2 linked regions of the Caenorhabditis elegans genome follow. The protein of the gene in region 2 interacts with the protein of the main gene of each other region in a pairwise test. Each region holds a gene or a part of one and is shown on either strand. Other genes may lie near its edges.

Region 1 (9,297 bases), on a different chromosome or scaffold from region 2:
TGGTGATCTGCGTACGAAACACCATAGTTTACGACATTTGGAGCTTTTTGGCTGAAAATTTACCGATAGACTAATTGAAGTGAATTTCACAACGAAAATCAGTGTAGAGTACGGAAAATTTCAACGAAAAAATTTTTTAAATGATATATGGACGAATACTCCTGGAGAACTGATTTTTTTTAACTTTAACAAAAAAATCGAGATCCTCGAAACTTCTGGTGTATATGCAAAAAACTAGAAGTCCCTAGCTTCAATTCGAAGTTTTCTGGGTTACTGTAGCGCCAAAAGTACGCATGCACTGGTGGCCTGCGTAGCAAGCATCATAGTTTACGGCATTGGGAGCTTTTTGGCTGAAACATGCAGGGTAGACTAATTCAGATTTGGAAAATTCAAATTTGTAAATAAAAATTAGAACAGTGAAATGATTTTCCAGTTTCGGGGCATTTTTTCTAACTTTTTTTGGCAAATTCAAATGTTTATAAAATCAACAGAATTTTGTAACATTTAGCCAAAATTCGAAATTCTCATTTCATTTTAATACATACTCAAAAAACCAGAAGTTTCTAGCTTTAGTTTTGAAATTTGAAGGGTACTGTAGCGCCGAAAGTACGCAAACACTGGTGGCCAAACACCAGATTTTACGACATTGGGAGATTTTTGGCTAAAAAATTATGGGTAAATGAAAGGCGATGAATTCGAATTTTTTATTAAAAATTTGATTTTATGGACTGAAAAGCCCAAATTCAGTCGAAAAATCACCAAAAAGTAGAAAAGTGCACGAAATAAAATTAAAATTTTATAAAATGTAGTTCTCAATTTCTAGTTTCTCATAATTCCTATTCAGAAATCAAAAAAAGCGAAAAAAAAATTAAAAATTCCGAAATGATGACTCCCATCCTTCAGTGGTCCGTGAAAAGTGAATAATTTTCAACAGGGAAATGTGGGGACATATGTTGCTGCAGATTTAAGTTTCAGAAAGGATTGTGGAAAAAATTTAGAAACAAAATTTTCAAGAAAAAAATTTATCTGAAAATTTGAAACTTTAATTAAAAATTTCAAAACTGTGGAAACCTACCCAGTTTTTCTTGAAAAACTCAAATTCTTCACTTTCCGATTAGTAAATACGTACGTGGTGCCAGGCTGTTCCATCACGGTCTGCTCTACAAAAAATGCGGGAATTTTTCGCCCAAAAAATGTGACGTCGGCACGTTCTTAACCATACGAAATCAGTTGATAAGTCTGCGTCTCATCTCCCGCATTTTTGTAGATCTACGTAGATCAAGCCGAAATAAGACATTCTGACACGAAGTTTACACCGCGATTTACTTTTGGGGCTACAGTAACCCAAAAAATCAGGCTAACGCTACAGGCTTGTAGTTTTTTGCATCTAGACCAGAATCTCGGATTTTTTTGTTAAAAATTTTTATAAAAAAACAAAAAATGTCGATTTTTTTCAGTTTTTTTTTTGGTTCAAAAAAAACAGTTCAAAAAATATATCCGGCCAAAAGTTTAGAAGAAAACATGAACTTTCAATTCTTTTAGAACTTCCTTCTTTCTTCATGAAGAGCACCAAAAATCGGAGGCCAGGCATCGTCGCAACCTCCACTTGAGGACAAAATTATTTGGGGGAGCGCTTTTTTCTTCTGAATGGAAGTATTTTTGGAGTGCATTATTATTGTGTGACGGTGGGTGCCGACCACGTCAGGGAATTTTTGAAAAAAAATTGGAAAAAAAATTTCCCAAAAAAAATTGTTACACTTTATTTTTTTTCGATTTTTTCCCTAAAATTTTTTTTTGAAAAACTAGTTACGGAAATTATTTTTAGCTGAAACTACAAAAATGTGCTAATTTTAGACGTAAAATACCCAAAAATTAAACTATTTAGAAATATTTCCAAAAAAAATTATAAGTTTTCGTGGCGGGACCCAACAAATTCCAATTTTATAAAAAAGTTCCTGTATTTTCAAATAAAGCTCGCCGAGAGCTTTGATTTAAGTATAATCATGACCTACTTTTCTTGGAGTTGAAAAAATGTGGGTCTCGCCACGAAATTTATAGTAATCCTGAGATTTTCGTGGGGAGACCCAGTGAATTTAAACTTTCTCAAAAAAATTTTGTGTTTTCGAATTCAGCTCACTGAGAGCTTTCGAACAAGTATAATCACGGCATACATTGCTCGAACTTGAAAAAAAACGTTGGGTCTCGCCACGAAAAATACAGTAACCCTGGGATTTTCGTGGTGAGACCCAACTCAATTTCAGGCAAAACAGGTCATGATTATACTCATTTGAAAGCTCTCGGTGAGGTAAACTCGAATTTTGCGAAAAATAGAGAAAAATTAAAATTTTTGGAAAATCCTTTGAAAAATTAGTGTTTTCAAAAAAAACTTTTCCAGAAAAAAACTAAAAAACAAACAAATATAAAACTAAAAAAGGCGCGCGCGCCAAAAAAATTCCCAAAAAACACGACGAATTTGCATGACAAATGTGGAAAGGAAAAATGCGCATTTTTCCCGAATTTCGGAGAAGGAGCACCTTGCTGCTCCGGGGAAATCGCGGAGCCATAAAACATGAAATTGAGGGGACTTTTATTACTCGTTTTACTCACTAAAATCACTATTAAACGGGGAACATAAAAACAGGAAAAGTACCTAAAAATGGGGAAAATCTCGAAAAAAAAAGCTCTAAAAATTTTTAAAAATTCCAAAAATTTTGAAAAAAAAATTAGGGGAAAAAAGGCATCGGGGGTCATGAGAATTAGAGAAAAATCGATTTTTTAACGAAAAAAAACAGAAAATTATGCGATATTCAGGCTCTTTTTGACAGCTTTCACGACGTGTTCGGCGGTTGGAAGGGCGGCAGCCTCCAAAGTTTGAGTGTATGGCATTGGAACATCGACTCCGGTGACTCTGGAAAATTTTTTAAGATTTTTAGGAAATTTAGAGCATTTCGGGGGATTTTGGAGCTTATTAGGGAATTTTGTAGAAATTTCTAACGAATTCGGAGCTTTTTCAGAGAATTTAGAGCAATTTCTAACATTTTTTGAGCTTGTTTGAGAAAGTATAGAGTTTATAAAGCGAATTTTGGAGCAATGTATTGTGAGATTGCGGAGGGCTTTTGAAGATTTTATAGAATTTTTCAGAGATTTTGGAGCAACTTTTGAGCAGATTTGGAGCATTTTCGGGATGTTTAGGCTGTTTGGAGCACCTTGGAGCATTTTTGAGAAATTTATAAGCAATTTTCAGAGGTTTTGGAAATTTGTGAAGACTTTCTAAAATTTGAGAGCTTTTTTGTGAAATTTTCAGAGATTTTCGAGGAATTATTCAGCAATTTTGGAGCTTTTTAGGGGAATTTAAAGGATTTTTGAAAATTTGCTAAAACTTTGGAGCAATTTTGAGAAATTTATGAGCTCTATGGGGGTTTTTTCCTGAGATTTTGGAGCATTTTCTCGCATTTTAGAGGTTTTTATTCGGGTTTGGATCATTTTTACAAAAATTTGAAGTGTTTTTCGGGAGTTTTGGAAAATTTTAAAGGATTTTATGCGATTTTTCGCATGTTTCGAAGATTTTCGAGCTATTTTCGAATTTTTCGCTTTTTCTTTAAAAAAGAACAAGAAAAATTCGAAAGAATCACAAATTTTCAGCTGTTTTCCTCATATTTTAGGGTCCTTTTTGTTTTTGTAATGAAATTATAAAATTTTCAGATAATTTCGAGTATTTCCTTCAACTTTTCAGAAAATGTCAAATTTGGAACATTTTAAAGATAAAATTTCAAGTTTTGTGCCATTCTTAGCAGTTATTCATCAAATTTTTAGCATTTTAAGCCATTTTTCGCAAATTTTCTCTTACGGACCTCAAAAGTGGCGCGTCAAGTTGATCGAAAACATCGCTCTCCATAACTTGAGCAGCAATTTCTGAGCCAATTCCAGCAAATGGCCATCCAGTCTCAACAGACACCAAATGATGAGTCTTATGAACTGATTGACGAATCGATTCGAAATCAAATGGACGAAGTGAGCGAAGATTAATAACTTCTGCTGAAACTCCGATAGCTTCAAGCTGTTTTGCAGCTTCCAGTGAAAATTCAACTCCACGTGAATACGAGACAATTGTTACGTGATCACCAGCTCTTTCGATCTTTGCCTTGCCAATTGGAACCACGAAATCATCGGAAAGAACCTCGTCGCCGACTGGGAACGATTGTCCATAGAGAATCTCGTTTTCCAGGAAGACAACTGCAAAAAATTCGAATTTTTCCCGAAAAATTGAATTTAGGAGAATATTATAAATTTTCGCAGAATTTTCGGCCAAAACTGAAAAAAAACTGGTTTTCAGATATTTTCCTATAGAATTTTTAATTTTTTTTGGATTTTTTCCTGAAAAACTGCTAAATTTGCACAATATTTTTCGAAATTTAGATTTTACAATGTAAATCTCCGGAAAAAAAGTAAAAAAAAAACATTTTTGAATGAAAAAACTAAACAAAAACCGACTTTTCTCAAATTTTTGATGAAAATAGCGCCGATTTTTTGATTCGGGGTTACTGTAGCGTCAAAAGCACGCAAACATTGGTGTTCGGAAAACCATTTTTCACAAGAAAATCGTTAAAAACTCAAAAAATGAATTAAAAATTCAAATTTGCCACCTTTTAATCAGTCTAAACTGAAATTTTCAGCCAAAAAGCTCCCAATTTCGTAAAATATGGTGTTTGCGTACTTTTGGAGCTACAGTAACCCGGAAAATTTCAAGAAACCGCTTAATTTGATCCTAAAATTTCGAAAATATCAGAAGTTTTCCAGTTGTCACGGTTGTTGACTGAAATTTTCTGGAAAATCTGAATTTTGCATCGAAAATCTCCAATTTTCGCGACAAGTACCCGGATTATCGTCACGAATCGCAGCTTTCAGGAGTCCCTTCGCATCTTCAGCACTGTACGGACAGACAACCTTCAGTCCTGGACAATGAGCATACCAAGCTGAAAAGTCTTGAGAATGCTGAGCAGCAACTCCGGCGGCGGCTCCATTTGGTCCACGGAATACGATTGGGACGGGTACCTGGAAAATAAATTTTCTCGATTTTTTTCTTCAGATATTACAAAATCTCTACAATTTTCGTTTTCAAATGTTTCTTCAATGATTTTATAAATATCATTTTCTCCGGTATTTTTCTTGGAAAAGCGGTGTTTTCAGAAAAAAAAACAAGAAAAAAAAACTTTAAAAGTTATAAATTCCCTATATTTTCTCAGTTTTGGACCGATTTTCCGAAAAAAAATTTCCAATTTCTGATAAAATTCACTGATCAGAAAGTGTTCAGTGATAAGAATTCTTATCAGTTGATGATTTTTACAAATTTTTTCTTATCAAAATGGCGTGAGACCATGTGAAAAACATGATTTTTCAGCATAAATTCAACGAAAATGGCTGAAAAAATGAAATTTTCAGTGAAAAGTCGAGAAAAATCGGATTTTAAAGCTAAAATCAGCTCTGTTGAGGTAAAATTTGTGTAGAAATTTCAGAAAAACCCTGATTTTCAGTCAAAAATCTAGAAAAATCGCATTTTTTGTATCAGAAATTGACTTTTTCCTGAAAAATCAGTGTAAACCGAGGAATTTCGTTCTAAAAATAGCAGAAAGCGTGATTTCTCACGAATTAGTCAAAAATTTGGTGAAAATCTTCAATTTTTCGGCTATTTTTTCGCTGAAAATCGCAATTTCCAGAAAACGTGGCACATTGCCAAGACCGTACCCTTCCGGCGGACATATAATATGTTTTTGCGGCTGAATTAATAATCTGATCGATGGCTTGCATGGAAAAATTGAATGTCATGAACTCGCAAATTGGACGGAGCCCGGCGAAGGCAGCACCGACGGCGATTCCTGAAAAAAATGTGATTTTTTTGGAGGAATTTTCAGTTTTTTCTGAAAAAATTTTGCTAAAAATTGAATAAATCGAGAAAAATGCGAAAATTCGAGCTTTTTAGACAATTTTTGCTGAAAAATTGAATTTGCGCGGTCTTAGAGCTTTTCTGCAAATAACATTGGGAAAAATCTGATTTTTATATAAAAAATGTGATTTTTCAGCTTAATTTTCGACAAAATTTTGATAAAACCGGAATTTTCTGCGAAAAATATCAAAACTCCGTAATTTCCGAGCTTTTTGCAGTGAATATTGAAATTTTCAATAAAAAATGCCGAAAATTAATTGTTTTTAGGAAAATTTCCGAAATTTGTTCGAAAAATCCAATTTTTAGTGTAAAAACTGAACTTTTGAGAGAAAAGATCCAAAATTAAAGTAAATTTGGACACTTTCTTTTCGAAAAAATGGTGCTGTTTTTGGGGATTTATTAGTGATTTTGACGTTCCGAGTCAACATTTCTCGATTTTTCTCGATTTCCAGCGTGATTTCCCGTACCAGCGAATCCCATTTCAGTAATTGGAGTGTCGACGACTCGCTTATCACCGTGCTTCTTCCACAATCCCTTGGAAATCTTGTAAGCTCCGTCGTACTGAGCAACTTCTTCTCCCATCAGGAAAACTCGGTCGTCACGTTTGATTTCCTCGTCCATAGCCTGATTTAGGGCGTCACGGACGGTCATTGCTGAAAAAATTGGCGATTTTTATGCTTTTTTAGGTTAAAATTCGTTTTTTCCGTTCAATTCTTCATTTTTAGCCGGTAATCAGCGATTTTTTCGTTTTTTTTCCATTCATTTTTTGCAATTTCTACTCACTGGAAGCCGCTCTGGTCGAGGTGCCAGCGAGACGAGCCACGAACAGGTTTCCACACTTTCTCAGAGCCATTTCGACCGGGGATTACCTGAAAAACCGGAAATTAATTGAAATTTTGAGGCTTTTGCCGGAAATTTTGAGAAAAATAGAGAAAAACTAGGATTTTTTAAAAAATTTAGGTATTTTGATTCAAAATTCTCACATTTTCATTAGTTTTTCTGCTGAGCATATTGTTTTAATGCTAAAAACTCAAAATTTAGACCAAAACCCTTCCAAATAGAATTTTACTGGTTTCTAGGGTTTTTCACTACGATTTTTCACATTTTCACCACTAAAACAGGCGGAAATCGATAATTTAAACCATATTTCCCCCGATTTTAATAAAAAATCAATGAAAGATGCGCAAAAAAGCAAACAAAACTCGGAGAAAATGCGCGCGGCGCTCCTCTCGAAAAATGTGTGCAATATGGCGTCGCGGTGTTTGCGTACAAAACGCCGGTTGAGCTGCAGAAGCTCGTCGACCGTAGTCTTTGGGGTGTTTGCAGGGAGTTTCTATGGGAACGGAGGAAATATTGAATGGGGGAATAGGCAGGCAATTGTTGAGAAGAGAAGTTTCAATTGAATTCTGCACGAAAAATGTCGTATCGTGAGCTGAGAAGTAAGTTTTTAAGGCTTTTTTAATTTTAAATTTGAACTTTGAGATTTTCATATGGAAAAAATAAGTGTTGCATTAAAATCTAGGTGAGAAATGTTTCTAAACCATAAAACGCAAAAAAAAGACCCAAAATACACTTAAAATTGAATTTTACAAAATCATGGCCGAGTTCGGATTCTAGTCCCAAATTTCGCCAACTTCAGACCTGTGTGAGATGACGCGAAGCCTCCGATACCCTCGCTTGATGTCAATTGAGAATTTCCGGACCCCAAATTTTCAGCTGGTGGCTGAATTGCTGGAATGGATCGTGAAAAAGTTAGTTTCCCAGTGAAAAAAATCGTTGGCCGAAAAATATAGAAACTTTGGCCACTAACTTCCAAGCCTACTCTAAGCCCAAAAATTCCAGATTTGAGCCCGAATCCAACCTTGACGCACACGAAGTCCAAACAGAAGCTGATCGGGTCGCTTTCATCAAGAACGCGGTACTCCTGATGCTCCAAAATTCGAGAATCAAGATGAATCCAAAAAAGTTGTACCAGGCTGATGGTCATGCGGTGCAGGAACTCCTACCGGCCATGAAGATCCTCTACCAGGCCAAGGCAGAGGACCCGAACACTGATAACTCGCCAAAATGGACCCAAGTCAAGAATAAGCTCTCGTCGAAGGTGGGTCTCACAGGCCACCAGCCTGAAAAAGCCTGAAAAAACTGTCGAAAGTTCAGATGCAGGAGGTCCGAATCACTCGTCAGCTATCATCACAACTCCCGGAAACAGGTGCCCTGCTCAGTGAGCTGCTGTCCCGGCAGGAGTTCATATCTCAGCAACACGAGAGAGCCGCGTCACGGGCGGTACCACTTGCTGAGGCCGAGAAGGTGCTGCAGGCAACAGTGCAGAACATCGCTCAGGAGACTGAGCAGCTATCGGTAAGCTTGACGGGTCACGGAGCTCCTGGTGGCGTAGGTTTGAGCTCTGGCGTCTTAGAGTTTGAGAGATTGGCCTGGCTCGATCCTGATTGTGAAGCGGACAGTAAAAAGCTTGGACTTCTTCTAATGGCGTGGGCTTGGTCAAAGAGTGACTTGAACTTTGATTCAGACTTTGAAGCTTCATTACCTGAACTCTAGTGGTATATGCAGGGCTTCAAGCCACTAGACCGGGCCTGTGCATCTTCTCCAGAAGCTCAGAGACCCCTAGCCTCGAGGAGTCCGCTGAGGATCTTGGAGCTGAAGGAATAGACTGAATTAGCCTAACTGGCTTGAAGCAACACCCACTCCACTCGAACCCACGTGATTGTTCTTAAAGCCCGGAGGGTCTGAGTCACTTACAATTAGGTTAGGTGCAGGCTCCCCAGCTAACCTCTCAAATTTTCAGAACAAGCTGAACAACGTGGCCAGCGATGAGGCAGAGCTCGACGAGAAGATAGAGCGAAAGAAGCGAGAGTACGAGCAGTTGCAAAAAAGATTCGCAAAGCTACAGTCCTTCCGACCTCAGTATATGGACGAGTACGAGCGGTTTGAGGAGCGACTGAAGAAACTTTATGAGGTAAGACACCGGATACCGAGCTGCCCTGTGAAGCCTAAGCTTCCAGGTCTACGTGCTGAACTTCCGCAACCTGTCCTATCTGCGAAAAGTTCATGATGACTTGGCGAGGTCCGAGCGGCAACGGCAGGAGGAGCTGGAGAAGGCGATGAGGATGGCCGTTGAGAAAATGCGGCTGGAGCAGGAGAAGAAGGATGCGTGAGTTTTCATGGAAGTTTAGAACTTCCGACTGACATCCTTATTTCAGCATCGGACTCCACGACGACGACGGCTCCGACGCCCCCTTGGTGGACAGGAGGCAGTGTAAGTGTTAAGTTCTATCAGCTCCACAGGTTTATTAACCATTTCCAGCTGTTCGCAAGGTGTACGGTAACATGATGGGTGG
Region 2 (7,898 bases):
ATAGATGTGTGCGTATGGAGTTACTAGATAAGGATTTGAACAATATTGAATTAAGATAATGGACTGACTATTTTTCCTTTGAGAATTGAGTTGCACGAGAAACTGGGGAGTTTTTTGAAAAAAAAAAACAAGTTCTACGAAAATATCTAAAGAATACGAGGAAAAATTTTAAAAAAAGCACTGTTCAAGAGAGAAAAAGTTCCTCTGAACATTTTCGGCAAAACTGATGTCCGGCAAACGGCGAATCGGCAATTTGTCAAGAATAAAAATTTCCGGCACATTGGCAAACCGGCAAATTGTTGGAATTCTAAATTTCTTGCAAATCGGCAAAACATTTGCCGAATTCGCCGAAATTGTCGACAAAAAAATTGCCGTATGGCAATTGCGGAGGGATTGATATCGTCTTTGAAATCAGGAAAAACATAAAACATTCAATTTATTTCTTTTTGAACCATCGTTGTAGGTTTCCTGAACCAGAATGCAAGTACAGTGTACATCATGGATCAGACAAACTTGGACGAATTGTGACATCAAAAGTGAACATTGGAGATGAAATTTATCACTCGTGGAATTGTAATTATAGTGGCGATCACAAAAACTACTTGTTCTGTGTGATGGTCAATAATTGCACGATTTCAGACAGCGGGGAGGAAGAAATAGGAACAAGGAAGGTAAGAGCAGGTCGATAACAACTCAATAGTAGAGTATCATTTAAAGATTCAAATAATCGACGAGAATGGGTGTTCGGTGTTCCCAAACATTCTACCCGATATATCATATCAAGGAGATTTATCAGCTGGAATTAAGGTTCACGCGTTCGCATTGGATGTGGACACGGTAAGTTAAAAGTGGAATAGCACCAGTGGGAATTTTGTCTACAGTTATAATAACCCAAAACCACCGAATATCATAATAAAACACTCAACAAATTTTAGATTTTCATAATTTCCGGTCAAAGTTTTGGCAAATTTCCCTATTCAAAAAAAAAAAAGATTTTGAGGAAATCTAAGGCAATGTCGCATCTTCCGACGTTCTATAATGTTTCAAGACGAATAACCAAGACAAAATTACAGTATAAAGAATGTAGGAAACAAATTTTGGTCGACTTTCAAAACTATGAGTGGCAAATGAAAAAACTGAGTAATTGCCACTTTTTGACAGTAAACAAAAAATTCTTTAAAAATTTTTGAAAAGTTTTATTATGGTATTTGGTCATTTTGCTATAAAATGAGTAGTTTTTAACACTCTCCCCACTGACGCTACTCTACCTTTAAGAATCGTGTGGAAAATATCACTTCTAAAATCTCAGACGGCTGTTCATTTCACATGCAATATAAAAATGCTGTTCAAGGACCATGAACAGTGTCAGAGGCCTCGATGTGGAAACCAACGACGATTTTCGAGATATTTAAATTGAGATATGATATGAATAAAACATTTTGTCTAATAAAATTTTTCAAAAAGTTTCACACGCAGGATTTATGTACGAAATGTTTAATTATTATTGCGTGGAGGTTTTTTGTGTCAAAATCTATAACAACTAATATTCCCAAAAGACTGGAATTAAACACCGAAAACCCTTATTGACGCAGGTAACACCCTTGATGACCGTTCATTATTTTAAGTTTCTTACCGCTTTTCAAATATAACACGTAATTGGTGGGTTTAGCTTTTGTGGTAAAACTTCAGTTTCAGAAATTGAGTGGAAAAGAAAAAAAAGAAGATAGATGTTCCGCAGATTATAGAGATTGAAAGCTAAAATTTACATGACTGAATGATTCATAAATTTTTCTATTCTAGAAATTTCTCTGTAATTATCATCCCAAGAGGGAATAATAATGATAAAATATTTAGTGAAGATGTATGATGCAGGAGATGAACATATGTAGAAAACAATTTATTTATCAAAATATACACAAAAAACCATCACAAAGTTATTTTTTCCCAAAAATTAATAATTAAAGTTAATTTACTTTCTGCAGGAAGCCGAACAACTCTGCTGACAAGCTGGCTGACACTGCGAGATTGGTTGCTGTTGCTGAATGCATTGGGTGTTGCAGCTTTGCTCACATTGTGGCTGACACTGTGGGGACTGACGAGCAACTGGAACATTGATGGTAAGCTGAATTTGTTGTTGCGTTTGAACTGGAGCTGCTGGAGCAGCTGGGGAGCAGGCTGGCTGGCATTGAGCGTCGCATTGTGGAGCGCACTGGTTCACTGGGGTCTGCTGGACTTGGCATTCCTGGTTGCACTGGGTTTGGCAAGTGTTGCACTGGGAGATGGTTCCTCCGACCTACAAATTTAGGTTGGATTTCTTTAAATCTAGATTTAGAAGTAATACTATTAATATGTTACCTGAACATTGGTGTCTCTGTATGGCTGGTAGGTTGGTGCAGCAGTCTGGGAAGCTCCTTGGTATGATGGAATGGCTCCTGGCTGTTGGTAGTTGTTGTTGGTTTGGTAGTTGTTCTGGGCCTGTGGCTGGTAGTTGACTTGGTTGTAAGCGGAGCCAGATGGCGTGGCACATTGTGGCTGGCACGATTGATCACATGATGATTGGCACTGTTGCACTGGCTGCTGTTGCTGCTGGCATGTGTTAAGGCACGAGTTTTGGCAGGTATTGCATTGACTGGCTTGTTGCTGTTGTGGTGGGGCAGTATTGTACTCGGATCTTCCGGTGTAGGCTGGGATTTGTCCTGGCTGAGCGTAGGTTTGCTGTTGGATCAATTGTTGAGAGTACTGATCATCGGATTGACATGTCGTCTGGCATTGCTGCTGGCACTGTTGCTGTGGTTGTTGTTGTTGTGGGCAAGCAGCTTGACAATCTTGTTGGCACTGTTGCTGAGCTGGCTGCTGAAGCTGAACTGGCTGAGCGCATGCGGACTGGCAAGTGGAAGAGCAAGATGATTGGCACTGGGCGATTGGCTTAAATAATATGAAATGGCTAACTGGGTTGAATTTGGTTTGACTAACCTGTTGCTGGGCAACACAGCTCTGTTCACAGGAGCTCTGACAAGTTGGTGCACACTGTTGTTGCTGATACTGTTGAGCGCATCCGCAGCTTGATGGCTGTTGAGCTTGAGCGCAGGAGCAAGATTGTTGGGCGGTGTTGGTTTGAGCTGGTTGGCAGTTGCATTGTGGAGCAGCTGGAATGGCGCATCCACATGAAGATTGGCGACGAGCGCGGAGGAACTGAAAAAGGAACGACTTAATTTTTCAACTTAATTTTTTAGTCTTCTGGATAATATCTCATTTGCAAAAAACCTTCTAAATAGGCCCTTGCAAAAAAAATTAAGCGGCAGAGGAGAACTTAGAACTAGAAAAATTTCGATCTGAAGTTGCTATTAGTGTATTTTTTTTATTACTTTAGAAGCCCGTAAAATTGAAAATCAGAAAAACCCCTTGAGTGAAAAAATTTCAGATTTTTTCAAAAAATTAAAAATTCCAAAAAAATTTACGATTGTTAGCCAGCTCCTAAACATGCTAGAAGCTCTTGAAAGTCAGCAAAAATTCACACTTGGCACATTTTTACTGCCCTCGATAGTTCGAAAGTTGTGAAAAATTCATTGAAAACTTTTCAGAACGACTTTTTTGCAGCTCAAAATACTCCCCTGTTGCTAAATTTTCAGTAGTAAAATAATGAAGTCAAACGATAAACTATTTGAAACATATATTAAGAAGTTCCTATATTTTACTTAATTCATATTCAAGTTATGCAATTGCTTGTGAGTGAGCACGAAATGTTTTAAAATTAAAAAATAAGTATTTATAATATAAGAGTTAGAAAAGGGGAACAAATGAAATATTTATAATTAGATTCATAAAAATAATACATACCACATTCTCCTCAGCAGCCACCGCAAGTGCTGAAACCGCCAAAAGCGAAAAGAGAATTGAAAATTTGGTGTTCATTTCAAGCTTGTCAGAGTGAGTGATGATTGTCCCAATACATGCTCTTGCTTATATATCTTCCCGTTGCAATCAGTTAAACATCGCCCCCTCTCCTCTACTACCACCTCTGTCCCAAATTCCGGTTTCTTCGAGTGATGCGTCTCCAAATTTTTTGCGTGTGCCTGTGTGTGTGTGTGCTCATGTGTTTGGAAGAGCAGAGCAAGAGGGGGAGGGCGTGTTGTTATGTTGACATGTTGTTATTTTTTTGTTTTTTACTTTCTAGTATTCACAAGGGTTACAGTTGAAGAACTGGAGGGACGTGATCTTTCAGGACTTGGTCGATGTCAAAAGTCTTCCGGTGGTCTTTCAGCAGCCATCACAAACTACAGCAAAATATCTTTCTTCTTTAAATAATCTTTCTGATTAATTTGCAGTCACAAATTCAGTTCCTCATTCCTCATTACTCATAGAGTTATTACAAAGACAAAAATAGATATTTGAGAGTTCACTCGGTCAATCACCATTTCTAAAGTTCTTACTTTTCTTCCCAACAACATTAATTATCCCTGTGAAGTCTAGACTATGATATAATTGTTGTTGCTCAGAAAATAATCATGGAACATATTTGCAAATAAATAGATTTTTGTATATGGTGTAAATGTCATGAGTAATATATTACGTAATAACATTCTGACAGGACAATAACGTATGCTCCATGGGGTTTCAGGACGAATGACATGTTTTCTAGAAACTACATGAGTAAAATAAATTAATAACAAGATTTTGACAAATTCAAAACCCAATGGCAAAAGTATCATTTTCAACTTTAAATGGTTATGTTTGCAAATATAAGCTGTTTTTGTTGCTCTAGGAAGATATCAGTTAAAAACTCTTTAAAAAGTTATTAAAATGTATGAAGATTGCTTTCATTATTCTCAAACTTGTCATGTAAAACATCAAAAACCTGCCAGTCTATGACCTACAAATTGCGTCAATTGTTTGATGTTCTAAACTTGGTGAGAACTAGTTTACCAGCGCTGAATCTTTTTTGTGCTCAAAGCGGAATGGAATTTTTTGATCTTAGTCATTGCATCTTTACTCTTGTGGAGGTGCACTCATACTAATATCATATCATATAACCTGATAGTCTTGCCAATATTGCGGGAAACTGATAAATCCACTCGGCAAATAGTTTTGGTGCAGTTTTCGATATTTAGTACGAATGTTTTTATAAAATTATTTCAAGGGAAACCTTGAATACTTTGTAAAATTACATTGTACCTTTTTGCAGATAGAGGTCTTAAATTCATATTACATTTTTTTACAGCGCCTTCACACCCACCCAAATCCAAATTCCGTTGAATTGTTTTCATTGATACTCATGATTTTTTGTTACCACAATCGCTCACGCTTTTCAAGAGATTATTCTTGAGGAGCATGTTTCCTTAGGATCAAGGGTGTGGGAAGAACATTGCGAGAGTGAGAATGAGCACGGAAAATGACCGGTCTTTATGAGAGCGGAAGTATGTATACACTATCTCTATCTTGTTAGACAAATAATCAACACATGTAGTAGCTAATGTAGGAATGCTAATTATGTTAAGACGTGTGGGGGGATTAGATGCTGTGAATGAGCAGTTCTACAAAAGATCAAGGGGTACTGAGAAATTTGCTCTTTTCGATAGGAAGACTCTGCAAAAGATCAGATGCATGGATTCTCAAATCACAGCGTGTATTTGAGAGCTACACAACAAAAAATGTGTACGGCTGTCGAACCGTATTATACAAAAACTTTTCAAATTAGGGGCGGGCGGCAATTGCCGTTCGGAAGTTTTTTTGTCGACAAATTCGGAAAATCGGTAAATTGCCGGTTGACTGGTTTGCTGAAAATTTTCAATTCCGGCAATTTGCTAGTTTGCCGATTTGCCAAAAATTTCAATTCCGGCAATTTAGCAATTTGCCGGAAAAAATCGTTTGCCGCCCATCCCTGATTCAAATATAATATTTGAAAGAAGTTTCACACATAATATGTTTATCAACTTTCTGAGAAAAAAAAGCCAAATTTAGGTTTTAGCTATTGTGATTTTTTTCCGAAATTAATTTTTGGCACCTCAACGTGTAGTCCAAGAGGTAGACAGTTTCAAAAAGTGATGTTTAAAAATTTCCAAAACAATTGAGCTTGATTTTCTGATCCTTGAATAATGTATCGATGCTTGGTCGTTGCCTACGTAATCAGACGTTGTTTCTTCCTTTTCGTCTACTCACTAATAGAATACAATCCTGTCTGCCTGAAAACCGGTGCTCACAGGCACCCGCAGGTCATTCAATGACAGCTACAACAACTAATTGTTTGGGAGGCAAATACAACATGAAAAGTGAGAAGAAATGGGTTTTGAATAGGGGGAAATCGCCGATGGGCAGAGACCTTGTGAGGCTCAGTTTCATATTTTGCCATAGTATGACGTGCTAGGATGGACAGTGGTAATAAGGAAAAGGAGTTTGTGGAGGAGTGGGTTCAGGACTCACATACTGGAGCCCAGGTCCCTCTCGATCATTTGGTTAGTTGTTTTTTCTACATTTATTTCCTTCACATTCTGTAATTAAAGTTTATTTCATAAAAGCGCATCATTATTTTCTAGGCCCCCACAAAACTTTTAGCGGCAGAGGAGCACTTTGAACAGAATAAAAGTCGCTCTGAAATTGCTTTTTTTCACTACTTTAGAGGCCCGTTAAATTGCCGCAAATGATAATTTTTCAAAAATTACTATGATTTTTAAGCTGTTTCGAGGTAGACAAGTATTCTGGAAGTTTTTTGGAATTTTTTTTTTTGGAAAAATCCCGTGATGGTTTTTTTTTTCACTGTTTTAGTGGATGAAAAAAAAATTCAGATTAAAAAAATTTCCGAGTCGGAAATTGAAAAATTCAGTGTTTTAAATATTTTTCTTAAGTGGTGTGGTAAAATAAGAATTTTTTAGAGTTTTTTTTTTTTGTAAAATGAAACAATTAGTCAGGAATGCAAACTAGAGTGTCTGACTAAAAAGTGGGCAAAAACAAATCTATAATGAATCGATAACACCTGGCCGTAAATATAGCCAACCAACCATTTCTGGAGGGCAATAGGCACATATTGTTTGTAACTCCATTTACTTATCTAGTTTTTTAAATATAAATAATTTTTTTTTGAAAATTATAAAATTTTGGTTTAAAAATCATATGTTCTTCAGCATCAATTTTGTGTCGAATCGAATGCAACTAAATCTGATTTTGAATTTGAGTTTTCACAATGATAATTCACATTTTACAGGTATCCCTCTACGGATATGCGCTTCTTGGCCTTGAAGATTCTTCGGAGACGGTTAGATTTCGAAAAATTGAAACCCAAATTGAGGAATCTGGAGTCAAGGATGAAGAAGAGCAACACTATTCCAGTTCCCAAGAGGTAGCAAAGAAGGAAGAGGATAAAGAATATGAAGAGCCAAAAAGGAGAGTCAGGGTAAGTTCTTCAACAATTTTTGTTCTAGGATATACAGTTGCGACCAGATACATGAAGATCATTCTGATAAAGCTTGTCTAAACGACAAGTGGTTTCAGTTTCTCTGCAATAACGGCGCTTGTTTTAACAACATCTTGCTTAGGAACAAGATTAAGAAAAAAAATATAGAGCATGTTTTAAACCAGCGTAACTTAAGAACCACGATGGAGTAGTGCCAATGGGGAAAGTGTGAAAAACTACTCCTATGGTGCCGAAAGTTCAAAAAACTTTAGTACATACTGCAATATATAAAAACTATATGCACACCTTTAAATTTTTGAAATTTATCAGAAAGAGCTTTATCCATAATTCATTGTTTAGCGACTCAAGCATACAGTTCCGCCTTTGAGAGTTACAGATTACGAGCACTTTCTAGATCAAAACCTGCCACTGTCCTTCCACATATTGTAATCATTATTCTCGGTTCTGTCTTCCGTTCTCCAGATGTTTCAACTTTTAAGAAACATTCTTCACC

Evidence for each region. Proteins that work in one complex are often made in the same cells at the same time.
Region 1: the proteins of abu-11 (region 2) and pdhb-1 interact in a two-hybrid assay, tested with the Caenorhabditis elegans proteins (one large-scale study listed by BioGRID).

The regions. Positions count from the first base shown.
Region 1 is NC_003282.8:3,397,185-3,406,481, reverse strand, and holds pdhb-1 (Pyruvate dehydrogenase E1 component subunit beta, mitochondrial), read right to left. Parts: upstream 6,811-9,297; 5' UTR 6,795-6,810; coding exon 6,725-6,794; intron 6,595-6,724; coding exon 6,409-6,594; intron 5,874-6,408; coding exon 5,743-5,873; intron 5,053-5,742; coding exon 4,875-5,052; intron 4,234-4,874; coding exon 3,852-4,233; intron 2,909-3,851; coding exon 2,797-2,908; 3' UTR 2,579-2,796; downstream 1-2,578. Other genes in the region: dyf-3 (Clusterin-associated protein 1 homolog), read left to right, coding at 7,359-7,380, 7,581-7,692, 7,784-8,042, 8,099-8,299, 8,745-8,915, 8,962-9,110, 9,160-9,215, 9,264-9,297. UniProt on the Caenorhabditis elegans protein: The pyruvate dehydrogenase complex catalyzes the overall conversion of pyruvate to acetyl-CoA and CO(2).
Region 2 is NC_003280.10:190,623-198,520, forward strand, and holds abu-11 (Activated in Blocked Unfolded protein response), read right to left. Parts: upstream 3,937-7,898; 5' UTR 3,913-3,936; coding exon 3,838-3,912; intron 3,193-3,837; coding exon 2,974-3,192; intron 2,926-2,973; coding exon 2,356-2,925; intron 2,294-2,355; coding exon 1,970-2,293; 3' UTR 1,887-1,969; downstream 1-1,886. Other genes in the region: T01D1.8 (ZP domain-containing protein), read left to right, coding at 464-671, 718-837, 1,310-1,417; chs-2 (chitin synthase), read left to right, coding at 6,363-6,449, 7,196-7,384.